4 linked regions of the Callithrix jacchus genome follow. The main gene of each other region encodes a partner of the protein of the gene in region 3 in a complex. Links are inferred from orthologs where the notes say so. Each region holds a gene or a part of one and is shown on either strand. Other genes may lie near its edges.

Region 1 (7,366 bases), on a different chromosome or scaffold from region 3:
CCTGCACCACCATGCAAAGGAAGGCTACCTGTAATGCTAACTCACTCTCAACCTCTACTCTCTTGAGGAATGACAAAGGTTCTAGAATGGCTACTCCATCTTTGGCAGGGACCATGTCAGTCATATTCACCATTGTACTCTAGCACCTAGGACAGTGTCTACCTAGATTAGGAAGTTAATAATAGCTGCTGAATGAATGAGTGAAAAGGAGACTCCTTCCTGTTTCCTTTAAGTGGGAGACAGGAAGGAGTACTTGATCATTAATGAAAAAGCAAGATAGGCAATGGAAACTAATCAAAATGAAAACAGCAGAAATAATACATGGCTGGAGGTTACCAAGAGAGCTCAATTCCACCAATCCCGCATACATCCACTACCAAAGTGAATTCTGCCTATGGTAGTGAATGATGCCACAAATGGCACAGAATTTTGGTCCGGACTTTAGAGTAGAAAATGCAGATTAACACAGAGAATGAAAAAGTAACCCCAAACAAAAACCCCAAAACCCAGTGCTCTGAAATTAATGTGTTACAGAAAATTGAGATGCAGTGATATAGACAATTTCGCGGAAGGAAGCGGGTTAATTTGAAGTCAGATGGTACAGTAAGTTACTTTGGATATTTGATTATCTCTTTCTGCAATATAGGATTTAAGCCATTCCATTATTTTGTGTAGCAACAAATATTGGATAAAGACAGATTGTTCTTCTGTGGATTTCCTATGTATAGACTTCGAAATTAAAAAGTGAGATGCATAGGCCGGGGTGTAGGTGGAATAAATAAAAAGTTCATAATTTAATGATATTCAGATGGTTATGAATAAAAATTCAGTGGAGGCCGGGCACGGTCGCTCACACCTGTAATCCCAGCACTTTGGGAGGCCGAGGCAGGCGGATTACGAGGTCAGGAGATCAAGACCAGCCTAGCCAAGATGGCGAAACCCTGTCTGGGCTAAAAATACAAAATTAGCTGGGTGTGGTGGTGCACGCCTGTAGGCCCAGCTACTCAGGAGGCTGAGGCAGGAGAATCGCTAGAACCCGGGAGGTGGAGGTTGTAGTGAGCCGAGTTTATGCCACTGCACTCCAGCCCGGGAGAGTGAGAGTCAGTCTCAAAACCAAATAAAGCAAAACAAAAAATTCAGTTCAAAAGGTGAGACTGTTAGTCTTTGATCTGTCAAAGCTGAGAAGCTATTCCTGCAATCTGACTTTAAAAGAAGATTTGGGATGTTTCATACAAATTTGTTTTTCACAGTTTTTGCATTGGTAGAGGGGGAGTTAATACTGAAATCTATAAAGCCAAACTGATAGCTAGTATCACATACCCACAGGCGTGTGTGCGCGTGTGCATGCACCCCCCTACCCCACTGCGCTGTCTATACAAATCAAAATTGACCACTGTCAAAGCAAAGACAAAATCGGGTTAGAGACAATGTAATATTCATGGATTTTTTTTCCCTTCTATTTTTTGTCTTTTTTTTTTTTTTTTTACTTTTTGTTTTTGGTTTGGTTTTGTTTGAAACGAGGTCTGTGTCGCCCAGGCTGGTCTCAAACTCCCAGACTAAAGCAATCCCTCTGCCTCAACCTCCCAAGTACCTGGGATTACAGGCACACACCACTGTACCCTGAAATATTAATGTACTTTGATCCCCAGGAAGGTTTCTAAATGTTTGGAAGAGATAAGGAATAATTTGAACATAGGTGATTTGTTTTCAATTTCAAATCCCACACAATTTTGAGGGGTGATAACCAGTAAAAAGGGAAAAACAGCCCCGCCTCCACTGCCAAATCAAGGATAATTCAGGCAGGATAAATTAGAGCTCTGTCCTGAGTCACTCGGAAGTAACATTCAGATAGTTTAATGACAGGCATTTAGAAATATATAAAAGCAGAACACAAACAGATGAAGATTGTCTTTCCTAAGATAAATCATAATGAAAGATAAATTTTATAGCCAAAGGAATTGAGCCATTGTAGTGTTGCTATAGCTAGTGATTTCAGGCTTTCTTTTCTGGAAAGTAATTTGTGATTAGACTCATTTCTGCTGACCTTAAGGTCAGTGGGATCTGTGTTAATATCTGAGCAGTTACATTCGTTTTTGGATTTTTTTTCTCAAAGCTAATGCTATGTGGTTGTTGATCTGAGCACTGTCTTCCCACATCAATCATATCCCTTCTGAGCAATCCACTTACGTGAAATATGCTGGCACTGACACTCAGGTACAAGGGCAACTGTGGTCAGAACAACTCCCTGAGCCAAAAGCAAAGCTCATAAACAAATAAAATACTAATAACTGTATAATACAGTGAAAGATGAAACAAAGAAACAAAGTATTGTGGACAATGGCTTCTTTGGAGGTTGGGTTTATAGGCGAGTTTCACTTTCTCCATCATTTATTTCTGTAATGTTTATTTTATAATACTGAGGAACTCCCAAGTTTTAAAATGCCAAAACGTCATTGTGGTTATGTTTAAAAATTCCCGCAGGATATTCTTACTGAAATATTCATGGGCTAAGCACTATGATGCCTGGGACTTGCTTCTAAATTATACAGTGTGAGAGGAGGTGATACAGAAAAGAAGACTAGACATGAATCGGTACCTGATGTTTGAAAGATTTCTGAGAGAAGAGTAACAAAAATGGTAGGAGATCAACTTGGAAAAGTAGACTGGGGACTAAATGTAAAGAACCGTGAGTGTAAGGAAGGTTTATTCTCTAGTTCAGTGCCCTCCAGACTTCAGTGAATGCAACCCTGCCTGCAATATTGTTGCATGCATGCACCAGGCATATGCTTATTCATTCATTCATTTATTTATTTATTTAAAATTATGTACATGTACCATTGTACTATTATGCCATTATAAAACATACACAAACATAAAAAAGCTAGATAAAAATAAGCACAGATATTGTTCTAATATGTTCTTCCTACACTCTATGGACCTGGACCCCAGTTGGGAGCCCCATGCTTAGTGAATGTGGGGGCCCCTTGAGGTTTTCTGAATAGCAAAGTTTATTTATAAGAAACAGAAACTTACTGGCGCAGTAATGGGAGGTTGATTAGAAAGACCCAGAGCTACTTCCCTGAGGCTTCTCAAAGAACTCGTAATGGACTGGGAAGTTGTTCTAACTAGATATGTGACTTGAACAAGGATGGTCATTTCCTTGTACACTTCTTTTACATATATGCAATCCACATAATGTGTTCTGCACACAGTCAGGATACAATATGCATACAAAACAAACATACCCCCACATATTTTGGGCAATATATTTAACACAACGATTATGATGATAATAGCTAACATTAGTTGAATACTTACTCTCTGCCAGGTATTGTGATAAGAACTTTACATACACATTTTTACTCAAAACCCATGAAAACCCTATGGAAATCGATCTTATAACTGATTTTCATTTTATTATGAGGAAATTGAGATTTAGAAAAAGTAGCTTTCCCAACATGAAAGGGCTAGAAAATGGCAGAGTCAAAATTTAAATCAAGATGTTTCTGACCCCAAACTCCATATCCATAGCAATGCAACCATATTGCCTCCAGAGAGAATAAAGGATAGTGTCCAAACCAGCAGACTGTTGTGACGATTAAATGAGATAATATAGTTAATATGCTTAGCACACTGTCTGACATAGGGCACACATCCTATTAATAGGTTAGGATTTTAGTACACAGAATGATATTTACTAAGATTTTCCACAGTAAACACCACTAATATCTCTCAATATCAAAACACCAATATTTATAATTGTAATGAAATAATGTTTTATTATTTAGTTAAACATTATTTATAATAACACACCCTAAACTCCTTTCCTTCGCTGCCATCCATAACCACGTGTGGGTTTGTTGTTGTCTCTGTGGAATGGCTGACTAGAGAGAGATTGCAATTGTGGACTGTGTTAGGCCTCCTCCTCAGTAGGCTATAAAAGCAAAAATATTTGCATCTGGTGTACTCCCGTCATCATCTTAAGGAGCCACCTATCTATGTAAGAGTGCATGTAACTTGAGCACTGAATGACCCAGGAAATTCGTATATACATGTCGATTTTATTTTATGACTGCAGGGTACTTTTAGAGACATGACAGACCTGGAAAATTCTTTGCATTCCATTGGTTTCATTTGAACTGGTCAAATATACCACTTTCATTTCTTTTTTCCAGATTTCATATTTTTATCAGCCAATCCAGATTCAGTATTTAATATTTACTATTTATTTACTCATGGCTCCCATGATTACAGTAGCCATCTCTCCCTGATTTTCTGGAACATACAATATTTGAGATTTTGTCCCAGTACCAGGATATAATTCCAAATTTGATTGGCAGCCTTAGCCTCTGTACAGGTGGTGATGCATGAAGCCCTATGCTGAGAGCTGTGATCTGAGATGAGACTCATAGGTGCTCGTTTATGGTATGGTCTCGTCTACACTGCTGAATCTGTACTTAATTTTGATGATCATTAAATGTTCCTTTTTGTAAGTTTGCAGATACTTTACTCAATGTCCCACCACTCTAAAGGGAATTTTAAGTTCCATAGTTGAGTTGGGGTGAGGGGAAGATAGTATCTTTGGTTTGGAGATTTTAGTCATTTAGTCAAAGCAGATCTCTCCATCAAATAATTAATTTTGGTATTATTCCATACGTTTTATGTAATGAGATATTGTATAACTCTAGGTGTTACCTAGGAAACTGCCCATCATTCCCTCTGTTCTTCTCCCTGGGAAGTTTTTTAAATGCTGGAAACACTGTGAAGAGCATTTGTGCTGACACAGTAGAATACGCCCCACCCATTTGTAGCCCAGATAGCAAAAACTCAAATTAAATATGTGGGATTTTTGGAAGAAAGCATCCAGTAACCAAATACTATGAGCAAAAAATTAATTTATTACAGATATATTCTCTAGTAATTAATAGCTTCTTGAATTTTAAATCTTTTTGCTATTTCCAATGCTTAAAAATCATAATTTTAAAACATAAGTACTGTTTTATATACATTGTGATTTCTTTTATTTTTTTGTGTGTTTTACTTGTAAATATGAATGATATGGTCTCCAAATATTTACTTGGAAAGAAAGGGGATAGGATTCATTGTTTCGCTCTAACATGGTAGAATTTAAAATTTCACGTCATGTATGTGGGGTTTTAACTATATGAAAAATAGCCAAATGTCATCACTTTCTTGGATATTTCTTTTACGTGTATATATATGTATAATATAAACAGAATACATCTGATTAGTACATTTCAACATTTCATCAATGTGACTTTTATCTCCTATTTTATATAAAATAACAAATATACAGAGAGAAGAAAGGAGACATCTGTTCATCATACACACAAAGTAAATAAAAGTTCATGTATGGCTTTGCAAAGGTAGATTATGATGTGACTTCCATATTTATTTGTTTAAAAGCCTCTTGAGAGAACGTGTCAGTGTGCTTACGAGAGCGGCCATGGTGGTTGAATGTCGCGCCGAGAGTCCAACATTAGGGTCCCCAGGGTTCTTTCCAGTGGCTGCTTCAGCAGCTTTCAGGAGACAAATGTAATTTATGACCACTTCATCGATCTTCCCTACAATTTCCTGCCGCTGTGTTTCTGAGTTCACGACTTTAACTAATCGCATGCAAGCTTCCGTTAGGCAACAGAGCACTTGAAAGCTGGAAGTCATAGCTAGGAGCATCTCCTCCGGGCTTTTCTCGGCCATCGCCATTTTCCTACAGGCACTTCCCAACTGTCTGGACTCGATGGATAACAGTTGCTTGTACTGAGAAAGTGTAAGGTCGTACGCTTCAGGGCGTGACTCCTCTCTCTTCTCCTTGGTTGCCCTGACGAGACAGAGCAGCTCATTGGCATCATTTTGGGCTGCAAGGAACCCATCAGGCATTGCATATGTGCTCTCCTTTAGGGCATTTATTCTTGCAATCCGGGCATCAAAAGCCAGGTTGCTGAAGTCCAAGTCATCTGGGCCACTCAGGTCTTCTGCCCAGACCTTCAGCACTGACCCTCTGGATAGCTCCCCTCCTTGCTTCTGAATCCCTGCAGCCACTTGTGGGCTGCTTGTTTCTGGCATGGCTTGAGTCATCCGTGGTCTATAGAGGCAAGAGACCTGGACGGTGGCCTCTCCCCTCTCTTCCTCCTCCTCGCCATCTTCATCCTGCCCTCGGTTCAGGAAGCAATAGCTGAAGGGTCCCCGACATCTCCAATTGCTGCCCTCCAGCTTCCGCAAGGGTAATGTCCTATACAGCTTTGAGTCTTTAAGAGCCACCGGGGACCTTTTGTGAAACCTCCCCTCAGAGCTCAAGTGCATCGAGCTTTGGGAAAAACTTTTGGTGAGCTTCCTCCCCAGGGGGAGTTCTGCTCGCCTTTCAGAACTGGCCTCCTGTGCTTCTGTGATGCCTGGACACTTTAAGCTGACTGCACCCTTGGTTCTTTCTCGGAAGGTCTCCAAATCGACAGATCCGGAGAGGATACTGCTGCTATGTCTTAGAGCCTTCTGGCTGGGGGGTGTCCTGAGGCTCCCCCCTCTCAGATCCGGTGGCCGCCAGCTCACAGCCTCTCCGTATGCCTGATTTGCTTGGGAGAAATCATTAGGGTCTTGATTTGGAATTGGCACCTTGGATTCCGAGTGAATATTTGATGGTAGCAGGATGGGATCAGCTTCAGGATGTTGAGACCAAGCTGAAGGCATGCCTCCTCGTCTCTCCTTCCCAGGCTCTGTCAAAGCTACACTAGGGGTAGTAGAAAAACAGAGAGAATAATTAAGCATCTCCTGTGAGGCCATTTTTACTACATCTCTACATGATGTCTGTCATTCCCAAGGATGTAGTCTGGAAGGGCTGCCATATGCCAAGGTCACCCCGCTTTCCAAAGATTGCCTCTTGATACCTCCTAGCAAATTTCCATTTCAATGAATATCAAGAAAATACTGGAATCTGTTATTTCTGGACTGATGATTCATTTGGAATTGTCTAGAAGTTCCAAACATTTTCAAGGAGACAGTTATTTCATGAATTGCCTTGCTCCCAGTATCTACCTTTGAAAATTTAGACACAGAAAACACAGATCCTATGTATAGATTATTCTAATATATTGAAGATATCAAGTTTCATTTCCAGGGAATTAGGCTAAACCTGGCATTAGTTACTTTCTCCTTTTTAAAGAAGTGGGCTAATTAATGCAAATGAAATAAACAAATCTTTTAAAGAGGAGGGAGTATGAGGTTTGCCTGGTACAAGGTATGAAGTTAAGACACTGGGCCAGTTGCTCAATTTTTTTCCTTAAGAAAAGCTGTGATGTGAAGCAAGTAATTCCCATCTCACAAAATTTTTGTGACAAGCAAGAGGTAACTCAGG
Region 2 (6,532 bases), on a different chromosome or scaffold from region 3:
TCCTTGGTACCTCTGAAAAATCAGAGAGATGGGCTGCTTGACCTCATCTGCTTGTAGTAAGTATGGGAAATGGTTCCTTTAGAGCAAAGGGCTGGACAAAATGACTTTAGTCCAAAGGACTGTTCCTCATCAGGTTTCCTTTCCACAGCAAGCTGCCTCGTACCCAGCCAGACGGCACCAGTGTCCCTGGAGAACCAGCCTCACCCGTCTCCCAGCGCCTGCCACACAAGGTAGAATCCCTGGAGAGTCTCTACTTCACACCCATCCCTGCTCGGAATCAGGCCCCCCTGGAGAGCAGCCTGGACTCCCTAGGAGACGTCTTCCTGGACTCGGGTCGTAAGACCCGCTCCGCTCGTCGGCGCACCACACAGATCATCAACATCACCATGACCAAGGTCAGGCTGCCAGAATGGGGGATAGGGGCTGCAGGGTCGCAATTCCCACTTCCTCTCAAGGGTGTCTGCATGAGACGCTCAGTCAGGAGCAGGCAGTGATAAGCAGTCAGTCCATGTTACAGTTGGGAAAGCTGGGGTCTTAAAAAGGGCAGTGACTTGGTTAGGGCCTCTTCTCAAGAAAAGGTCAGGGCTGGGATTAGATTCCTACCTCGACTCTACATGCATTCTCTTCATGCACAGCACTGCACAGGGTGAAGGGAGAGAACATGGTAAAGCTGCAGCCCGTCCTGTGCCTCCCAGCATGCCCCATGCAGCTGAGAGGCATTGTCATTGCACAGTGGACTGCCTGCCAGGCTGCAGGCTCTTGCCTTTGTTTCACATCTTGAAGAGGTGGTTTGGGAGGAGGGGCGAGAGGCCTCTGGTACAACAGGGAGGACCTGTGTGTGTAGGGTGTCCCCTGCTACCAAGAAGTTGGGGAAGTTCTAGAAGGAAGCTTGGACTGAGGGACAGCAGAGGCTGTGGGATAAACCTGACTAGTCAGGAGACATGGGGTCCAGCCCCAGCTCTGGTATTTCCTAGCCGTGTGATTGTGGCTAGTCACTTCATTTCTCTTTGCACTTCACCTCTAAAATGGGCTGATAAACACTCTGCATTCCCTCCCTTAAAGCACTGTGAATAGACTCGATGAAAAAAATGCACAGAAAAGAGCCTTGACAACATCAGCACCACCCTGTGAGGGCTTCTGTCAGTAAGGCCTATATCTTGCAAACAGACACGTTAAGGACCTTTGCAAAGCAGTTGGGAGGATGTGCCATGGAGTCTGGGTGCTTTGGGAGGGAACAGGAAGCTTCTTTACAGTGCCAGAGTCCACCCCACTGCAACAGATTCATTCTCTTTTCCAGAAGCTAGATGTGGAAGAGCCAGACAGCGCTAACTCATCCTTCTATAGCACGCGGTCTGGTCCTGCATCCCAGGCCGGCCTGCGAGCCACCTCCTCTACTCAGTCTCTAGCCCGCTTGGGTTCTCCCGATTATGGCAACTCAGCCCTGCTTAGCCTGCCTGGCTACCGCCCCACCACTCGCAGTTCTGCTCGTCGATCCCAAGCTGGGGTATCCAGTGGGGCCCCTCCAGGTGAGGGGACTACAGGGACTTACTATACCCAAAAATTAGACTGGAAGGTGGATCGTGGCACAGGGAAAAGAGGCAAATTTTTAAAAAATCCAAGGCTAGCCTCCTCGCTACTGCCCAGTAGCCCCCTCCTTCCTGCAGCCCCAAGGGCCTTCCTTACCTGTCCATTTCAGGGCTGGCTGTTTTGGGCACTCTTAGCCAGAGTGAACCAGGGATGCTCACTAAGGGCCTGGGAGTCCCAGCACAATCTTGGGGAGTCCTCTGTACCCTTCTCAGGTGGTGATGGGCTGCTAGAAAGGTCAGGCTGGCCAGACTCTTCCTGGAGGCTCTTGCCCTTTGGGTACCAGGGAGCCCTTGGGAATCAATTCCTTATTTTGTTCCTCTGGGTGTTGGGCACTAAGCCTTAGTGGGTAAGATGTAGTAGCAGCCTCTGTGTGTGGCCTCTTCTGCCCTCTCCAGGGAGAAGGTGGTGAACAAACCCCTAGGATAGAAATAGTCTGTGTGCCTTACTCCTGCACCTGCAGCACTGAATCAGACTGGCTTAAAATTTACGGGATAGGTGACAGCAAAGGCTGGCAAGATGCCAGGGTGAGCAGGTGACCTGCCAACTTCCCTGCCCTCCACAGGAAGAAACAGCTTCTACATGGGCACTTGCCAGGATGAGCCTGAGCAGCTGGACGACTGGAACCGGATTGCAGAGCTGCAGCAGCGCAACCGAGTGTGCCCACCACACTTGAAGACCTCCTATCCCCTGGAGGCCAGGGTGAGCCCTGGGGTCACTGTGCAGGGCCTCCGATCCCTGCCCTCCCTTGAAATCTCACCTGCTGATCTAGCCTGAGCACTAAGGCCCTGGATCCCTGACTGGCTGAGGAGGGGGAGGGTGACCTCATGCTTCCAGGCAGAACAGCCAGCAGGGAGGGCATTCAGGAGTGAAGTCCCTGGGGGTGGGCAAGAGCTCGGAGAGGAATCTGATTAGGACTGCACCGCTTGTAGCCATTCACCCAGGGCGTAGGTTTAAAGTGGAACAAGGGAGGCCTCGTGAGGTAGGAAGGGTCCACCTACCCTAAGTGCCAGGTGAGTGCAGAGTCCTGGGACACCCCCAGGTCCTGCTCCATATCCAAACAGCTACAGTCCACTGACCACCTCTTCAACTAATGCAGCCTTCCCTGAGCCTGGCCACCATCTCAGATGAGGAGATGAAAACTGGCGACCCCCAGGAGACCCTGCGCCGAGCCAGCATGCAGCCAATCCAGATAGCAGAGAGCACTGGCATCACCACCCGACAGCAGCGCAAACGGGTCTCCCTAGAGCCCCACCAGGGCCCTGGCACTCCTGAGGTAGGCACAGTAGCTCCTGGGTGTTGCTCCAGCACTGTGCCCAGGTCAGGTCCAGCTCACCAAGGACTAAAGGGAGCCTTTCCTATCTCCCCCTCTCTCCAAGGGCCTAGTGCATGGATGGGAACTGCTGGGAAGGGAAGCCCTCTGGCTCAGAATTGGGCAGCAGGTTGCACAAGTTGACTTAAAAGGTCCACTCAGCTCTGTGAGAACAAGATGCCTGGCTTCAGATGTGACTCTTGCTACTGTCTGCCTAACTGTCCTCTTCCCCATAGTCTAAGAAGGCCACCAGCTGTTTTCCACGCCCCATGACTCCCCGGGACAGACATGAAGGGCGCAAACAGAGCACTACTGAGGCCCAGAAGAAAGTGGCTCCAGCTTCTACTAAACAGGTGAGGCTGGGGCGGGGGGGAATGAAGCGATGGCCTGGTGGGACCTTGCCGGCAGAGCATCGCACAGCGGGCTGGCCTGGGAAGGCCAGTCTGACAGCCTTTCCTTGCAGGCTGACCGGCGCCAGTCAATGGCCTTCAGCATCCTCAACACGCCCAAGAAGCTAGGGAACAGCCTTCTGCGGCGGGGAACCTCAAAGAAGGCCCTGTCCAAAGCTTCCCCCAACACTCGCAGTGGAACCCGCCGCTCTCCGCGCATTGCTACCACCACAGCTAGTGCTGCCACTGCTGCTGCCATTGCTGCCACCCCTCGAGCCAAGGGCAAGGTAAAGGCACTGGGGAGGGAAGCCCAATGAGAGCATAGACACCCCCCAGACCGCCCCAAGGAGCAGCATCCAAGACAGGGCTACTCTAGGCTGCTGGAGGGTGGTGGGGTAAAAGGTGTCCCTGTCCTAGTAGCTACTCGTTATCAAGGAGAGAAGACAAATGGCCCCATTCGCATGGAGAGCACCCAGAGCTGCTCAGGCATAGCCAACAACTGATAATCCGGGGGCTCACAAAGGATGGGAGCAGGAAGAGGTCTTCCAGGCCAGTGGCTGCAGGCTGGCATCCCAAGTTCTCATCTGGCCATGTGTCTGTGTCTCTTTCAGGCAAAGCACTAAACGGCTAGTACCAGAGAGTGGCCCCACCTGTGTCCCCGATGCTGACCTCACCTGGTCTTCCTTCTACTGTCCCTCTCAGTGCCTTCTCTCAGCTCCCAGGCCAACAGTAGCCAAAACCCTAGAGACAGTAATGTCTGCCTGCACCCTGGCCTGGTCCCTGGACGCCTTCTCAGAGCTGGACCAGGAAGCCTGGAGCATGGACAGTGTGGGTGCTCTCCCTACCTTGCCTCCTTTTTTCTTAGAGCAAAGTCACTTCTCCATCACGACCAGATTTGAGGCTGATGGCTGGGTCCTTGGGCCTAGCCAGTCTTCCTCTCAGCCTCTGGATCTAGAAGGGACCAGAGGAGGAGTAGGCCCTGGTTCCTGCTCTCCCGGTGGCTGGGCCTAGCAGGGGCCCTCAGTCTTGATGTCCAGGACTGGATATGGTGGGAACACCTGCCTGAGGATGCCCTTTTCCAGCACGGATGGGCCCTGTGGCTCAGGTGTGGGGTGGAGGGATAGCCTTCAGTGGCAGCTCACACCCTGCCTTCCCCAGACTTGCACTGGGGTGGGATTTGGAGTGATGGGAAGGTTTTTAAGGGCCAGGGATGGATCTTTTCTAAATGTTATTACTTGTAAATAAAGTCTATTTTTCTCCCTTGATTACTGAGTTGCCTTGATCTAAGTGGGAAAGGGTAGGGGGGAAACCTGGGTTCTTTGGAGCCTACCTTGTCCCTGCTGAGTCTTCCAGACCACCTCCTTCCTCTCATCCCTTTTCCTGGGACCACATCTTTCTTTCCAGGATTCCCACTCTCCATTACTGGCCTCTGCTCCTGGGGAACATGGGCTGTTCTCTCTCTTCTTTTTCAAGGGCCTGTGTTCCCCTGAAGCTAGTTTTGTCTTTCGCTTCTGTGTGGCAGTCCCTCTCTTCCCATACTCCCTCCTGGGACAGGCAAAGTTCCTGGGAGTGAAACTGAAGCCTAAATGAACAGATGTCAGGATACCTCCATTGAATAATCCTTTATGAGGACCCACGTGGGGATAACAGAGATACAGTGTGGATCTGAAGCAGCTGCTGCCCCCATCCCTTCCCTGGAACAGTCCATTAGAGTAAAGTGGGGGGAATACAGCATGAAGACTGAAGTCTGCAGAATAGCCAGAGCTGAAAGCGGGTGACTTCACTGAAGAGGCAGTGTTTCAACCAGGCTTGAAAGTTCCCCTGTTGGGGTGGTGAGGAAGGCGGGACCAAATGAGCAGAGGCATGGGAGTGGGAGCTGTCTGGGAAAAGCAATAGTTGGAGGCCTCCGGAAAGTCACATGGGAAATGTAGGCAGGGCCCTGGAGTGCAAGGCTAAGGCATCAACAGTCGGTTTCAGTGGTTTCTGAGCAGCAGAGCAGTGTGAGGAGCAGGACATTAGGAAGGGTGGAGAGAATGGCAGGAGGAGGAGCATTATAGGGAGGCTGTGATTTCCTAAGTAGACGGGAATGGAGTTTGAATTTGGTGAGAGAAAGAAACCAAAGCAGAGGAGAAGGGGGTGTGCTGCTTGCCCATACAGCCTGCAGGCAGTCAAGGACTGTTCACTCCAGGTAGGTAGATAGGACCCAGGCTCCGGTCAAGGTTGTGCTGCTGCTGGCCCTGGGCTGTGGCTGGAGGGCAGGGCTTCTTGGGTAGGGGGCAAGGTTGTCCTCAGGCCAGCCTAAGGAAATGAAGGCAGATGAGGATCAGGCCAAGGAAAGGAGGGACACATCTCATCACTTTGCCCCAGGCTACACCTCCCCTGTTTTAAGTTCCTTTTTGTCTCCTCAGGCTGTCCTTGAGGAATTCTGGACATTAGTTTAGAGGCTGCTCTGGCAGAGCCCACTCTTTCCTCCCCACATATGGAAACAGAGCTCCTCCTCTTCCTGGAGGCCTCTCCTTAAGCTCCTCACCCAGAGCTGGGCCAGAACGACGTAACGCTGGACAACCTGTTCGGGGTCCACGAGTACACAGGAGAAGTTGGTGCTGTGCAGGGCAGGGGTCAGCTGCTCCAGCACCAAGGTCCTGCTCAGCTGTGTACCTGTGCTCCGACGCTCCCACCTGGAGCAAAAAGGAAAGAAATGTCATGAGGACCACAGAAGGAGGCCTCCTTCCCACCCATCTGGCTGCTGCAACCCTCACCTGGTGCTGCCCTCCCACAGGCCTGGAAGGTGCTCAATGAAGGAACCATTGCCCAGCCAGTAGAGGATGCTGAAGTGGGGGAAGTGGCTGCAGGCAGTACAGGACAAGGTCAGCGTTCCATCTAGGGACACAAGCAGCAGTTAGCCCTCCTGAAGAGCAAGCCCTTTCCCTGGCCTGCTCTGCTGTGCCCTCCCTGCCAGCTCCCCCTAGGTGGGAAGGTGTGTTAAAGGGGAAGTGCAGTTGTCTCCAAGAGGCCCTAGCCCTAAATAGGGAATATGGGGAAGGGTCCTTGGTTCATGTGATGACTCCTCTTCTGAGTCTGTCTCCTCGGGATGACCTTTTCTAGTACCCAGTCTCTGTGACTCTGGAGCCCAGGTGACCGAGGCAGTGCTGGGTGGCTACTGCTCCTATGAGATGGCTAGAGGCCAGTGGGCTCTGGGTGAAGGGGCTGGCCTTGGAGTCCACTGCAATCAAGGCTCTGAGAGGTC
Region 3 (7,063 bases):
TGAAACGGAGATAACTAGAGGAGAAACAAGTTTGGGGAGAAAAAGCAAGAGTTCTGTTTTAGACATGTTCAATTTGGTAAGCTGTTAGCCAGTTCAAGGAAGGGCAGGTGAGACTGGCATAGACAGTGAAGTAGAGGTGTTAAATAGGCAATTTGATGTCAAATCTGGAGCCCAAGGGAGAATAAATTTGGGAGAGCCCTGGAAAGAAATTACCTAAAGAATAGGACAGAAAGAGGTCCAAGACTCAGCCCTGAGCATTTCAGAATTTACTAGGTAGATGGAGGAAGATGAGCTGGCAAAGTAGCAATAGCCGGAGAGTTCGAAGGATACCCCGAGCATGCGATGTGGTGGAAATCAAGTGAAGAATGTATCTTAAGCAATGTTCAGCTGTGGCAAATGTTGCTAAGAACCTGAGTCAGATGATAACTGAACCTACTAGATTTGGTAACATGGAGTTTATTAATAATTTTGAAAGATACTGTTTCAGTGGCATGGTGGGGACAAAGGATTGAGTGGGGTGAGAAAATAGGAAGTGTGAAAGAGGATATAGTAAATATAGAAAACTTTAATGAGTTCAGTGGACTATTAGCTAGAAAAGAAGTATAAGGCAAAAAATTTTTTTCTTATTTTGGGTGATAATAGAGTTTACAGACAGAAATAGTCAAGTAGAGAAGGGAGCCGGTGATGTACGTAAGTCTGGGATAATTGAAGAACAGTTTTTATGTAGGTGACAGAGAAAGCAGAGTACAGATTTGGAGATGGGAGCAAGTAGGAATTCTCTCTGGCTGCTTTTATTTTCTCACCAAAGAAGTGTAGAGTCATTCATTAAGATTGGGGTTGGGGAGCACTATAAATTTGAAGAGAAAGGAAGTGAGAAATAGTTGACTTAGAGAAACTGAAACTAGTGGAAAAGTTTTAAGAATACTGTGCTGTACTAAGAACCCACCTGAGGCCCAGTGCAGTGGCTCACGCCTGTAATCCAGCACTTTGGGAGGCAGAGGCAGACGGATAACCTGTTTCTTCTAAAAATACAAAATTAGGCTGGGCGTGGTGGCTTATGCCTGTAATCCCAACACTTTGGGAGGCCAAGGTTTCAAGACTAGCCTGGCCAACATGGTGAAACCCTATCTCTACTAAAAATACAAAAAATTAGCTGAGCATAGTGGTGGGCACCTGTAATCCCAGCTTCTGGGGAGGCTGAGGCAGGAAAATTGCTTGAACCTGGGAGACAGAGGTTGCAGTGAGCCAAGATCATACCACTGCTCTCCAGCCCAGGTGACAAAGTGAGACTCCTTCTCAAAAAAAAAGAAAAAAAAATATCCGGGCATGGTGGCACATGCCTGTAATCCCAGCTACTCGGGAGGCTGAGGCAGGAAAATTGCTTAAACCCGGGAGGTGGAGGTTGCAGTGAGCTGAGATCACACCACTGCTCTCCAGCCCAGGTGACAGAGTGAGACTCCTTCTCAAAAAAAAAAAAAAAAAAAAAATTATCCGGGCATGGTGGCGCACCCCTGTAATCCCAGCTACTCGGGAGGCTGAGGCAGGAGAACCACTTGAACCTGAGAGGCAAAGGCTGTGGTGAGCTGAGATTGCACCATTGTACTCCAGCCTGGGCAACAAGAGTGAAACTCGGTCTCAAAAAATTTTTTAAAACCCCACCTGAAGCTCAGTCACTGGAAGCAAAACTGGTGAGTGAAGCTGTGTATTTTATCCAGTCATAACCAGCTGCTTGAGGCAGAGAGATAAACCAAGACTGATATTTTGCCAGGAGAACTGGATATAGGGGAGAGACTGGTAGTTGAAGACATGTGCCAAGAAGTGATTTTAATAATGGACTTTAGAATCCAGGCTGTAAGAAGGAAAATAAAGAAATGAAAGGTGTGAAGTAAAAAGTAGCAGTGGTCTCAGTAGATTCAAGGAATACTAAAGATATATAACAAATCATCAAGATATCTGAAGCAAAAATTAACAGAATTGAAGGGAGAAATGGAGAGTTCTACAAAAACAGTTGAGGAATTCAATATCCTGTGCTCATTAATGGATAGGACAACTAGACGGAAGATAAGGAAATGGAGGATCTGAAAAACAGAGTATGCCAACTAGGTCTAACACGTGTATATGGCACACTCCACCAACAACAGCAGCATGCACAGTCGTTTTAAGTGCACATGGAACATTTTCAGGTCAGTCCACGTTAGGCCATAAATTCTCAATAGATTTAAAACATAAAAAGTACCTTCTCTGACCCCATGGGATAAAATAAGCAGTAACAAAAGGAAAACGGGGAAAACACAAATTTGTGGAAATTAAACAGACTCTAAAACGACTAATCCATGAAAGACATCACAATGGAAATTGTAAAATAGAGACAAATAAAAAAATATACTAAAACGTATGGGACACAGCAAAGGCAGTGCCAAGGGGAAAATTCATAGCTGTAAATGTTTACAGTAACAAAAGATCTTGAGTCAACAATCTAACTTTACAACATAAAGAACTGAAAAAAGAACAAAACCCTAAACTAGCAGAAGGAAAGAAAAATAAAGATTATAGCAGAGATAAATAAAATGCAGAACAGAAAAAAATAGAAAAAATCAATGAAGCCAAGACTTTTTGAAAGTAGATTAACAAAATTGACAAACTTTTGGCTAGACAGACTAATTTTAAAAGAAGATTCAAATTACTAGAAATACAAACTTACCAAGAAGAAATGATGAAGAAACAGAAAATACACCATAAGAAGGAGGTTACATCAGTAACAGAAAACCTGATAAAAGCCCTGGACCCGATAGCTTTACTGGTGCATTCTATCAAACATTTAAAGAACTAACACCATGCCTTCTCAAACTGTTCCATCCAAAAACGGAAAGGAGTTCTGTCAGCTTCTGCCAAGGCAGGCGGATCACAAGGTCAGGAGTTTGAGACCATCCTGGCCAACATGGTGAAACCCCATCTCTACTAAAAATAGCTGGGCGTAGTGGCATGTGCCTGTAATCCCAGCTACTCAGGAGGCTGAGGCAGTGAGCTGAGATTGTGCCACTGCACTCCAACCTGGCAACAGAACAAGACTCTGTCTCAAAAAAAAACAAAAAAGGCAACCAAGATAAAATATTTGGAAATCACATATCCAATAAGGGATTAATATCCAGAATATATAGAGAACTCCTAAAACTCAACAGAAAACAACTTGATTCAAAAATGGGCAAAGAAAAGAATGGGCAAAGAACTGGAAAAGGCATTTCTATGAAGATAACAAGAGGTTAGACTATAACCATGAGAGCCAGATGGTTAAGGCTGAAGTGAAGGAGAACACTAAATCAGAAGTCTAGGAACTGAAGTGTTCAAGTGTTGGGTTAATTGGAGGACACTGAAATTATCAACTTAGGACAGGAGAAATGAGTGAACCAGGTATGTGTGGAGGCGGCACTGACTTAGGGCAGTTAACTGTACCCTCTAAGGGTTGTGGGAGTAAATGTTGAGGGATTTATGTGCTTGTCACTGTCCCCGACAATGTATTGGTTACTCAAATATCAGCTATCACATTTTTATTCTTATCCTTGAGCTACAATGCCAGCATCTATGGTGTATACTTGTTAGTGCTTGTACATTTTATTTGATGAGTAGCGTGTCTAATGTAAGAATCACAGTCCAGGCATGGTGGCTGACACCTATAATCCCAACACATTGGGAGGCTGAGGCAGATGGGTCACAGGTCAGGAGATCAAGACCATCCTGGCCAACATAGTGAAATCTGGTCTCTACTAAAAATACAAAAAATTAGCTCGGTGTGGTGGCAGGCACCTGTAGTCCCAGCTATTCGGGAGGCTGAGGCAGGAGAATCGCTGGAACCCAGGAGGCAGAGGTTGCAGTGAGCCGAGATTGCACCACTGTACTCCAGCCTGGTGACAGAGCAAGACTTCGTCTAAAAAAAAAAAAAAATTCAGTCTGGGCTATTTCTTAACAGATTTAACTGCCTAAGACAGAGGCAGGCAAACTTTTTCTGTAAAGGGCCAGATAGAAAGTATTTTACGCTTTGCAGGCCATATGGTCTCTTTTGCAACTGCCCAACTGCCATTTAGTAGGAAAGCAGCCATATAGACAATATATAAACAAATGTATTGATGGGAAAATGAAAATGACACCTCATTTACAGAAGCAGGCATTTGCTGTCTCCTAGCCTAAGATGTGATTTTTTTAATGTGGTTCCTCATGGATTTTGTACATATTTCTAAAGACTTGGTGTTGCCCTGTTGATGCGTGTTAGTTTAGAACCTAAAACTGTTATATACAGTTGACCTTGTCTCAGATTATTCCTTGTGACCAATTATAATTAAAATAGTATGACTTAATATAATGCACATACTAAACCCATGAAGCAGCTATTCTTATGTAAGCAGCTATACTTAATTCATTTTTTAAAAAGAATTTTATGTAGTTTGAGGTCTAAAGATTAATTTCTGAGAAGCCAAAAAAATAGCTTACAACTGCATTTTCTTGTTATGACTGACAGAGATATTACATAGCTTCATGCTTTTTTTCCCCACAGTATGTCTTTAAATTTCTTTCTCATAAACTTTTAGGGATCCAGGTTAGATGATCAAAGATGTACTCCGCCACCTGCTACCACAAAGGGTCCGACAGTACCAGATGAAGACTTTTTCAGCCTTATTTTACGATCTCAGGCAAAAAGAATGGATGAACAGAGAGTTCTTTTACAAAGAGATCAAAACAGAGACACTGACTTTGGGCTAAAGGACTTTTTGCAAACTAATGCTTTGGTGGAGTTTAAAAATTCAGGGAAAAAATCAGCAGGCCACTAGTTACTATGGATATATTTTTTTCCTTTCAGAATACGGTAAGGAAACAATCTATTACTTCTTTCCTTAAAAGAAGAATTTATAGCTCTGTAATACAGCTTACAATATTTTTAGAATAATGTAAATATTTAACCTTCAGTAGTCTATTATTAAGGCTTTAATACTTCTCTGGACACTCACGTGTTTCAAGGTGGAGGTGTCCTGTAAGGTGCTTCATCATCTGTGATTATTACTTGGGATGTGTTCTTTGGCAGCTTGTTAGATTACTTTACCTAGTGTTTGTGAAGTAGGAAGTTAAATGAATCATAGATTAGAATTTAATCCTCTTACAGAAGTTTTTAAAATCTTAATTGACAATGGCATTTTTTAATATACAACCATGGATGTAGTGGGAAACAATGCTGTTTAGTAAAAATAATGTACTTGACCAATGTAAAAAAGTATATAAAAGTCTTATTAAAAAGCTAGGTTTTTTTCTCCATGAAAATCTATTTTCAGTACTTTTTAGGCCAAAGCCAGTATAAAGAAACTCTTAAGTAAACTTCTTGGGCTAGGCATGGTGGCTCATGCCTGTAATCCCAGCACTTTGGAAGGCTGAGGCAGGAGGATCACTTGTGGATAGTTCAAGACCAGCCTGGGCAACATAGTAAGACTGCCATCTCTATGAAAAATACATTAGCAGCCAGGTGCAGTGGCTCAGGCCTATAATCCCAAAACTTTGGGAGGTTGAGATGGGCAAATCAGTTGAGGCCAGGAGTTTGAGACCAGCCTGGCCAACATGGTGAAATCCCGTATCTATTAAAAATACAAAAATTAGCAGGGCTTGGTGGCACGCGCCTGTAGTTCCAGCTACTTGGGAGGATGAGGCAAGAGAATCGCTTGAACCCTTGGGAGGCAAAGGTTGCAGTAAGCCAAGACCAAGCCACTGCACTCCAGCCTGGGTGAAAGCTAGACTCTCTCTCGCTTTAAAAAAAAAAAAAAAATTATATATATATATATATATATATATATATCAGGCATGGTAGCACACACCTGTAGTCCCAACTACTTAAGAGGCTGAGGCAGGAAGATCACTTGCGCCCAGGTGGTAGAGGGTGCACTCCAGCCTGGTGACAGAGCAAGACCCTGTCTCTAGAAAACATATCTTTTGTATGTTTTGGCTATATGTTAAAAAATATATACATATGTATCATTTAAAATGGTCTCTTCTGTTCCATAATACTGCTATAAAACAAACTTTTGTTAAGTTATCATGTTTAAAAAAAAAAATGGTTAGATCAAGAACCTAGAACACATAACAGAAAACAGATGACAACTCACAGAAATTCAGTATGAAAGATGTCAGCTAGAACTTTAGTGGTCATTAAGCCTTGTCTTCCTTATCCCAGATACTTAAGGCAGTTCAGAAGGGGAGGATAACAGAGTAACTGTAGCAAAAGACGAGAATGGGACAGAGCAGGGCCTGGAGTGATACTGAATCAGACTGCAGAAGCCCACCCCTGGAACAAGCTGGCAGTTTGTCCCACTCTGCTTGCACAGCTGGGATGGGATCTGGGGATGTGGACCCCTGTTCAGAGTCACTCGGGTGATTTTGATGGGCAAACAGAACTACTTATCTAAATGGCCAATGTTTTTTTTTAAAAAAAAAAAAAAAGTCAAAATCTGGAATTACATTAAGGGCTGAGTTGAAACATGGATCACATTATGTTTCATGTATACTCTTAGGGTATGATGTCCTGGATAGCATTTTAAAAACTCAGGTAAGTTTCATGGGGCTTTTCTTATAAGAAAATTCAGTAACACAGTATACCAAACCCCAATGTAAAAATAAGTTTATTTTATGTATACAATATAGTTCTTACAGCCTGTAAATATTCAACATCATTCCATTTAAACATTGATTTTAACAGCTGTCTACCTTGTTTTGATTTTCCTAAAGCTTCCCACTATATAGGCTGGGCACGGTGGCCCATGCCTGTAATCGCAACACTTTGGGAGGCTGATGAGGGTGGATCACTTGAGGTCAGGAGTTCAAGACCAGCCTGGCCAACATGGCAAAATCCCATCTCTACTAAAAATACAAAAATTAGCCAGACATGGTGGCGCACATCTGAAATCCCAGCTACTTGGGAGGCTGAGGCAGGAAAACCGCTTGAACCCAGGAAATGGAGGTTGCAGTGAGCCAAGGTTGCGCTGCTGCACTCTAGCCTGGGCGACAGAACAAAACTCTCAGAAAAAAATAAAAT
Region 4 (7,528 bases), on a different chromosome or scaffold from region 3:
CCCTCAAAGTAGAAAATGATTGTCCACATTTACAACTAGCTGAGTCTTAGAGAAGCTAGTAGTAGCAACAGCTACCATTTATTGTTTACTCACTGCTGTACATATTTTTACTTCTCCTTACAACAATCCCATTTTTATCACTGTTTTGTAAATGAAGAAATTGAAGATTCATATATTAAGTGACTTGCCCATGGTCTTATGGCCAATAAGTAACTGACTGAGGCTAGAATCAAATCCAGGTCTGCCTGACTCCAAAGTCCCCATTCTTTTATTCTCCAGGTTACTTCTGGTCTCTCAGCCTCTTTGGCTCATTCCCAGTGATGCTTCCAGAGATGTGGGTTTCAGTTCTATCAGGAGGGAAACACTTGCCTCTGGGCAATGTTGCTCCCCACAGCCCAGGTGTGACCATTAAACAACTCAAACTCTTGATCCAACCACCAGGACTGGGACAACAGATTAGCTGAAATATTAAGAACTCTGATTCCCTTTATCCAGTGATTGTCCCATCCTCTGATTTTGGGAAAATCACTGGAGTCTCCAGTCCCTTCCAGGTCACCTCCCTACATCCAAGGTTTTGGGTGAGTCTACAGAGCACGGTGGCCCACTTTCCTGTGAGATTCCTTCTAGGTCCAAACACTCCTCCTAATTCTCATTCAGTTGCTATTGCTGCTGACACAGCAATTATTAACACAACTACCTAAGTGCCTTTTAATTTTGCTGCACATTTATTTGAACTACAGTCTGAGTCACCTGGGATGTGTTAGGAAGATTAAATTGAGGATTCCAGTGACTCATTTATAAATGTTTCCAGGGAATGGCAAGAAGTTGGAGGGCTATTTCCCACCAAAGAGCAGAAGTATGGCTTCCTGCCCGGAATATATCTGCTGAATCTCAGAGTGAACTCTACAATGCATCTTCATCAGGATGAAATAATAGGAAGACTCCTTGGCTCCAGGGAGAAACCCAGCCTGGGAAGTAAAGCAAGAATGAATATATGACAATAGTGAAAGGTCACTTGGACTATATGTACTTTGTTTATTTGATAATGTTTATAAGTAGAGAAATTTTCTATAAAATTTACAAATTTTGTCTCATCTTTAAAAGTCTATGCCTTTCCCACATGGTAACAATCAACTGAAATTTACCAGTGACCATCCCTTTAGACACTGCATGAGTTTTTCAATCTGACACAGGTCTCAAACACCTTTATTCTTCCATGTGGTGCTCTTCAACACATTCATGTTTCTTACTGGGCTCTAGAGGATGTTGAATATGGGACTCTGGCATAAGTGAGTCCTAATGCTGTTGTGTAACCTTGAGAAAGTAACTTAACCTCTCTAGGCTTAGATTTCTTCACCTAGAGAGTATGCAAGGAACTATAGGGTCTCTTGAGCTCCCTCTAGCCAAGACTTTCAACAATGGGCTTCCATGTTTTCTCAATTTTGAATAAATGTGGACATTGGCAAATTGATTTCTCCCAGCCTGACCTGTGAGTGCTACTGCCCCCATGACTAGAATCAGCCATAAAGTCAACATAACTGATGTCTCCTCTGTGCAAAGTACTTGCAGATCTCCAAATTCTAGAGTTAGAAGGACCCTTGAGAGAAACAAGTTGCAATGTCTTGTTTATGTTAGGAAAATTGTGAAGTGGGTTTTACAGTGAGATATGGTAAGGAGTGAGTGGTGGGATCTCACACAGCACTGGCACAGACTTGCTGCCCAGAGCCACTTGAATGCATGAGTCAAAAGCTAGAGTCCAAACCCAGGGTTCTGACTCCTACCTAGCCCAGTGTTATGTTGCCCCTAAGTTCTTGCTATTTCAGATATTCCCAGCCCTGGTATGGTGACTCCAAGAGTTAATCTTACATTTCCTGATGAAATGAAATGAAATTTCAATAATATATAGATATAAAGAGAGTGACAGAGAAATAGAAACACACATCACCACCAGCACTTTTAAAAGAAAGAGGTGGTTCACAAAACAATTCCCTGGGGATTGTTATCCAGACCAGCCCTTTCAGTTTCTATAGCTTAGCAAAGGAAAGCTAAGAAAAGAGCATATTTTAAATACAGAGCTATGATTCTCCTGCTAGCAGTGCATATGTTTGAATAGGTGAACCTAGAAGAGTCAGCACTTTCACGGCCCCATGATGAGAGACCAATGGTGTGATTTTCAGGAAGCAGGTTGTGGTGAGCTAGTGCTCTCTGAGAAACCATTTGCCCCAGTCATTACTGTGATAGTCACTGGGTACAAGGATTGAGAATTTAGGAAAAATGCCTATCAGAGTCTCTTTATCCAAGTATCTGAACCTCAAAATTTGAGGCTCCATTCCTTTCTGGGGCTTGTCCTGGTCTCCCTTCTGAAATGCCAATTAATCCCAAACTGACAATAATTCAACTTGCTTCTCAGAGGGCTGCATGCATTTTAATAAGAAACTCTTGACAATAGAGGTCTTCAAAGCCTAATTCTGATCCCTTAATGGTGGGATTTCAGCAAATGTGATCATCTATACAGGAGATACCTGGGGTGCAACGAGTGGCAGATTGGAAGGCCTTCCTATCTATTCCTGAAGACAACTGTCCCAATGCCCTCTCTCCTAGTGGTCCCACTGCCCAGGGTGACTCACTGATGAGGGCTGTCACGATCTCCTCCATGCTCTCCAGGAAGCTACTGAGGTGCTGGGTGACAGGCAGGTGTGGGGAGGTGACCTGGGCCACCACAGCCGCAGCCTCAGCCCGTGTGGCCTCTGGGTGGCTGTCGTCGGTCAGGATGTTGGCCAAGCACAGAATGCCATCCACCTGCAGATGGAGAGAGGGAGCTTCCCTGTGAACCCTAGGAAGACACCACTGCCCATGACATTAATGAGACAGATTCAGGCCCCCTCCATGTAAGCCAGCTCTGCCTTCCCAGAACAGCCCAGGACTACATGTAGAGCCAGGGACAATCCAGTGACAAGGCCCTCAGAATGACTCAAATTCTGGCACCTGGAGGCCTCTTCTTTGATTCAAGCAGAGATCAGTAAACTTCCATGGGTCTTCTAAATAGCAGACATAAAGTCCTGTGTCCAGAGACAGGGCCCTGGTGATACCACAGCAAATTGCCACAGAAAGAACAGTCACTTAGAAATCTCACATCCCCAAGCTCCAATTTTAGACCCCTCTTCTTTGCTCTGTGACTTAGCCTCTCTGATATTCTATTTCCTCACCCTTCAACAGGGTATTGGGGGATTTAAGAGATAAAGCAGGCAATGCCTGATCCAGAAGAGATGCTCAAGAAATATTGGCTCCTTCCTCCCTTCCTCTGATTTAGCAACAGGATGAGCTCAGGGTTCTCTTCCCCATCTTGTCCTCCACCATCCATAGAAATGGGGCTGCTTCCTTGGGGGCCTTGCTTTCTGTGCCCAACCAGTGAGAAGCAAACCTGAAACTGATGGGACATGAATTCCAGATAAGAACATGTTTTCAAGCTCTGCCCGAGTCAGACCTGCTCTTGGCATGATAACAGCTGCTGCTGAGCACGTGCTTACAGTATGCCAGGTACTGCTCTATGTAGAGTGAACATGATGTTATACAATCTATTCCTTACAATAACCCTTTGAAGTCAGTATTATCTCAATTTTACAGACAAGAAAGCTGAGACACAGAAACTTTCATAGACTTGCCCCAGATCAAGAACTTTAAAAGTAGTTGGTTTGGCATTTGAACACAATGGTCTGGTGCCAAAGCCCAGGTTTTGAACAGAATATTATCCTGCCTACTAAGAAGTGGCACCTGAGCTCAGACTTCAGCCTCCATCAGGGTCAGTATACAAGACTTGTTAGAGAAAAAGAAGGCAGGAGCTTGTCACGGTTAGCTCCGCCGTGCTATTGCAGACCCTCAGATGCCCTAGACAACAGCCTGCCTGGGGACCCTGCTACCAAGCACCAAGTCCTTCTCAGGTCAGGAGTAGGAGGTAGGGGATGAGGCGGGGGAAGAACAGGAGAGGTGGGGGGAGGTGCAGCCCATGCTCATTCCCTACACCTGCCACAGACCCGAGGCTTCTGTCCCTACATCTTCCTGACACTTAGCTCCAGTGGGCTTCCAGAGGTCTGCGTTTCGTTTGACTAATTACCACCACTGAGTTCTGTGCCTCCCTTAAATGGCTCTTGGGAGCTGTAAGGTCCATTAGCTGTGAAAGCCTTTGGCAATCTCAGACTCAAAGGAGACAAATGTGGAAACAGGAGCCCAGGGAACTGTCCGCAATAAAACTCACCTGGATGTGCTTAATAAAAGGGAACAAACAGCAGCCAGGCAGTCCCTGGCAGAACTGGACTCATGCCAGGTGTTTAACTAACAGGCCCTCAGAGGGGGGCCTCATTTGGGCCTGCAAAAGGGAAGGGAAGCGGGGGCTAGAAGCAGGAAGCGGCCCTATTGCCAACATAAGAAACCTCTTGCCCCATCCGGCCTTCATCCCTTTCCTTCTTCTAGCACAGATAAAGCTGATTGCTAAGAAGCTATAGGGTTGTTAGTGGGGAAATGTCTCAATCAATCCCATCTCCTTAATCTCAACATGGTTGCAGATGCTATCCTAGTCCCCAGCTCAGACATGAATACCAGTCAGACCCAAACGAGTAACCTTCCCTAGTCCCCAACACATACTTGGAGATAGGCCAATCTAAACACACCAGAGAGACAAAGGAGTTGTTGGTCCCCAGGGCCTGCTGCCACCCAAGGCCTGGATACTAGGCCTGCTCCCTAGTCCAGCCTGCTGCTCTGAAATCCCATTGAATAAAACATTCCTGACATATACTGCATGCCAAGCCTTGTGCTGGAGCAAAGGTAAACCAGGGAACAGTGTTCCCTGCAGTGGGGGAAGATGACTCACATCTACAAATAACAAATGAGGATGCTCTACAGAGGGGCCTCCTGGAAGCTACTCTGACTTAATGCCCATGCTTCAGGTGGGAGAGGTGGCCCTCTTTGGGGCTCCCATGCCCAAGCACCTTTGCTATTGTTGTAGCATTTATCACACCAACAAGCCGTTTCTCCAAGTGAGGTCTGTGGACCAGCTGCATCAAATTCAGGGAGAGTTTCTTAAGAGCAAGTTAATGTACCCCACCCAGACCTAGTCTGCCAGAATTGCCAGGGACACCTGAGAATCTGCTTTTTAACGGCTCCACAGCTGACTTTTATGTGCCAGCAATTCGGAAAAGCACTACTATAGTATGATTCTCTGCTCCTTTGTCTGTCTGCTCTCTTGTTCTCCTGCCATCTCTGCAAGCCTGGGGACCACAGCTTGTTAACTCTTGGCTGCTTCAGGTCTGGTATGTAGTAGGCTTTCCGTAAGTAGAAAATAAATACAAGAAAGTAAAATTTGACCTAATACTTAAGGACACACTTCAGACAAGCAAAGCTAAAGGAATAGCACTGCAGATGGAGGAGCTATTGTGAGCAAAGGCAGTTATAGAAAAAGACAGCATTGGAGAAACAGCCAGCATGAGAACATAAATCAATTCTTGACCCCAGAAAAGTGACCCCATCCTGATGTAAACCCGATTCCTTCACTGTCCTTTGGTTTCCAGAGGATCTGTGGAGTTCTGTCTATACAATTGCCAATTTCCCATTGTCTTGCTTTCCTTGCAATTTGTTTTATATGCTTCAGATCTCTTTTGGTAACTTATTAATTATCCCTTCAAAAGAGATAGATAGATGATAGATAGATAGATAGATAGATAGATAGATAGATAGATAGATAGATAGACATAATGATTAAGATAATGAATAATGAATGATAGATAATGAATAAATTATAACAAATAATAAAATGAACGTCTGTATGTGTAGATGTATATGCCTAATATCCAGAAATTCTAAGAAATAAAATCAAGAAAGTCCCCTACACACCTTTCTTGATCTCATACCTCTGATTTCTCCTGTTGCATGGGCTGTTACTCTGAGTTTTATGCATATTATTCCCTTGTTTTCCTGAGAGGTTTATTGCACATATCCACTGTTAGTTTTACAAGATTTGTACTTGACATAAATGGTATCATGTTGAATACAGCAATTTACTTTTCTCTCCAGTCAGCATTTGTTTATGAACCTCTTCTCGTTGTTCCATGTGGCTATGATCCATTTATTTTCACTGTTGTATGGTATTTGATTGTATAAATCAATTTCAATTCATTTATGCATTCTCCCATCGATGGGTGTTTGAGTGGCTTCCCAGTTTTTGCTATAATGGACAGTGTTGCTATAAATGTTCTTCTAAATGCCTTCTAGTGAACATGTGCCAGTTTCTTCAGAGGTCCCAATATAGGAGTGGAATTCCTAGGGCCTAGTGTTTACACATCTTTAGCTTTATTGGTATTGCCAAATTGTTGTGCAACATGGTAGTAGTAATTCTTACTCCCACCAGCAATACATAATCACACTTAACACCAGATTCTTGCCAATATTTGATATCAGCAGATTTTTACATTTTTTGCCAATTTTATAGGTATAAAAATTTTATTTTAACCTGCATGTCTCCACTTAGTAATGAGGTTGAGAGACTTTTAATATCATTATTTTGTTTTGATTTGGTTTGTTTTGGCTTTTGTTTTTTGCAGGTTGGATCTTCTCTGCTATGAATTGTCTGTTTGTATGTTTTGCTCACTTTACTAGTAAAGCGTCTTTTCATAGGGACCAAATTTTCCTAGTGTCTGGTTCTGACGCTGCTGACCAGCCACCTGGTCTGCTGCCAGCAAGTTGATCTTCATATTCATTACCATCTCTCTTGCACAGCCCAGCTCACCACAGAAGGAGACTACTCAAGTGCGCCACATCACTGGGGTCTGGGCTTCCCAGCACCTGAGGCAATTCCTATAGAGTCAGAATATGCACAGACATTAGAGTTAGGCCTACCCAGGTCTGAATTCTGCCTCTATACTTTACTAGCTGAACAATTTTCTTACCTACGGATATGGTTTGGCTGTGTCCCCACCCAAATCTCACCTTGAACTATAGTTCCCATAATCCCCACATGTCATGAGAGGGACCTGGTGGTAGGTAATTGAGTCATGCTGTTCTCATGATAGTGAGGGAGTTCTCATGAGATCTGATGGTTTTATAAGGGACTCCTCCCACACTTTGCTCTGCACTTCTCCTTGCTGCTGCCATGTGAAGAAGGATGTGTTTCCTTCCCCTTCTACCATGATTGTATAAGTTTCCCAAGGCCTCCCCAGTCCTGTGGAACTGTGAGTCAATTAAACCTCTTTCCTTTATAAATTACACAGTCATGGGTATGTCCTTATAGCAATGTGAGAACAGACTAATACACCTACTTTGGGCTTTTATCTGTAAAACAGGGATAATACCAATCTCATAGATTGTTTTTCCTCTTTATAAAATGGGACTAAAAGTAACAACTTCAGAGGACCATTGGAATTATCAAATGAGAGACTGCATGTGTAGTTCCTGCCACATGGGGCACCATCATTCCCTCCCCTCCCCACCTGGTGGCTCCTAGACTTGGGGCCCTGAATCCTAGGTTCACCCCACTTCTGCC

What was found.
Region 1: the proteins of GPSM2 (region 3) and FRMPD4 are in contact, whole or in part, in a crystal structure (PDB 4WND), measured with the Homo sapiens proteins. The link is inferred for Callithrix jacchus from reciprocal best matches to the Homo sapiens genes GPSM2 and FRMPD4. Residues at the interface, in NP_001307967.1 of Homo sapiens: Leu25, Ala28, Leu29, Glu32, Asp57, Lys59, Thr60, Ser62, Ala63, Ile64, Ser66, Gln67, Asn70, Phe73, Tyr74, His85, Asp88, Ala92, Gly100, Lys103, Asn107, Asn110, Thr111, Lys113, His128, Arg143, Tyr146, Asn147, Asn150, His153; in NP_055543.2 of Homo sapiens: Gln988, Leu989, Leu990, His991, Ser992, His994, Met995, Glu996, Met997, Glu998, Pro999, Glu1000, Thr1001, Met1002, Glu1003, Thr1004, Lys1005, Ser1006, Val1007, Thr1008, Asp1009, Tyr1010, Phe1011, Ser1012.
Region 2: the proteins of GPSM2 (region 3) and NUMA1 are in contact, whole or in part, in a crystal structure (PDB 6HC2), measured with the Homo sapiens proteins. The link is inferred for Callithrix jacchus from reciprocal best matches to the Homo sapiens genes GPSM2 and NUMA1. Residues at the interface, in NP_001307967.1 of Homo sapiens: Ala28, Leu29, Glu32, Cys35, Lys36, Phe47, Lys59, Thr60, Ser62, Ala63, Ile64, Ser66, Gln67, Asn70, Ala71, Phe73, Asn110, Lys113, Tyr146, His153, Lys157, Pro164, Gln165, Arg203, Gly206, Asn207, Asn210, Tyr213, Leu214, Arg228; in NP_006176.2 of Homo sapiens: Ser1901, Phe1902, Tyr1903, Met1904, Gly1905, Thr1906, Cys1907, Gln1908, Asp1909, Glu1910, Pro1911, Glu1912, Leu1914, Asp1916, Trp1917, Asn1918, Arg1919, Ile1920, Ala1921, Leu1923.
Region 4: the proteins of GPSM2 (region 3) and INSC are in contact, whole or in part, in a crystal structure (PDB 3RO3), measured with the Mus musculus proteins. The link is inferred for Callithrix jacchus from reciprocal best matches to the Homo sapiens genes GPSM2 and INSC. Residues at the interface, in NP_083798.2 of Mus musculus: Asn210, Tyr213, Leu214, Phe218, Arg242, Ser246, Asn247, Asn250, Ile253, Phe254, Tyr265, Gln283, Tyr286, Ser287, Asn290, Thr291, Thr293, Leu294, Arg323, Trp326, Ser327, Asn330; in XP_006507722.1 of Mus musculus: Val72, Asp73, Ser74, Val75, Arg77, Trp78, Met79, Asp81, Leu82, Lys83, Leu84, Met85, Thr86, Glu87.

Annotation. Positions count from the first base shown.
Region 1 is NC_133524.1:12,941,063-12,948,428, reverse strand, and holds the end of FRMPD4 (FERM and PDZ domain-containing protein 4), read right to left. Parts: intron 6,743-7,366; coding exon of another isoform or gene 6,738-6,742; coding exon 5,413-6,737; 3' UTR 2,788-5,412; downstream 1-2,787. UniProt on the Homo sapiens protein: Positive regulator of dendritic spine morphogenesis and density. Required for the maintenance of excitatory synaptic transmission. Binds phosphatidylinositol 4,5-bisphosphate.
Region 2 is NC_133511.1:68,940,009-68,946,540, forward strand, and holds the end of NUMA1 (nuclear mitotic apparatus protein 1), read left to right. Parts: intron 1-148; coding exon 149-395; intron 396-1,297; coding exon 1,298-1,526; intron 1,527-2,149; coding exon 2,150-2,286; intron 2,287-2,683; coding exon 2,684-2,860; intron 2,861-3,132; coding exon 3,133-3,249; intron 3,250-3,359; coding exon 3,360-3,572; intron 3,573-3,896; coding exon 3,897-3,908; 3' UTR 3,909-4,550; downstream 4,551-6,532. Other genes in the region: IL18BP (interleukin-18-binding protein), read right to left, coding at 5,500-5,583, 5,816-5,963, 6,045-6,131. UniProt on the Homo sapiens protein: Microtubule (MT)-binding protein that plays a role in the formation and maintenance of the spindle poles and the alignement and the segregation of chromosomes during mitotic cell division.
Region 3 is NC_133508.1:146,805,075-146,812,137, forward strand, and holds the end of GPSM2 (G-protein-signaling modulator 2), read left to right. Parts: exon of another isoform or gene 1-3,922; intron 3,923-4,580; coding exon 4,581-4,820; 3' UTR 4,821-5,304; downstream 5,305-7,063. UniProt on the Homo sapiens protein: Plays an important role in mitotic spindle pole organization via its interaction with NUMA1. Required for cortical dynein-dynactin complex recruitment during metaphase. Plays a role in metaphase spindle orientation.
Region 4 is NC_133511.1:81,125,074-81,132,601, reverse strand, and holds part of INSC (protein inscuteable homolog), read right to left. Parts: intron 2,800-7,528; coding exon 2,628-2,799; intron 1,472-2,627; exon of another isoform or gene 1-1,471. UniProt on the Homo sapiens protein: May function as an adapter linking the Par3 complex to the GPSM1/GPSM2 complex. Involved in spindle orientation during mitosis. May regulate cell proliferation and differentiation in the developing nervous system.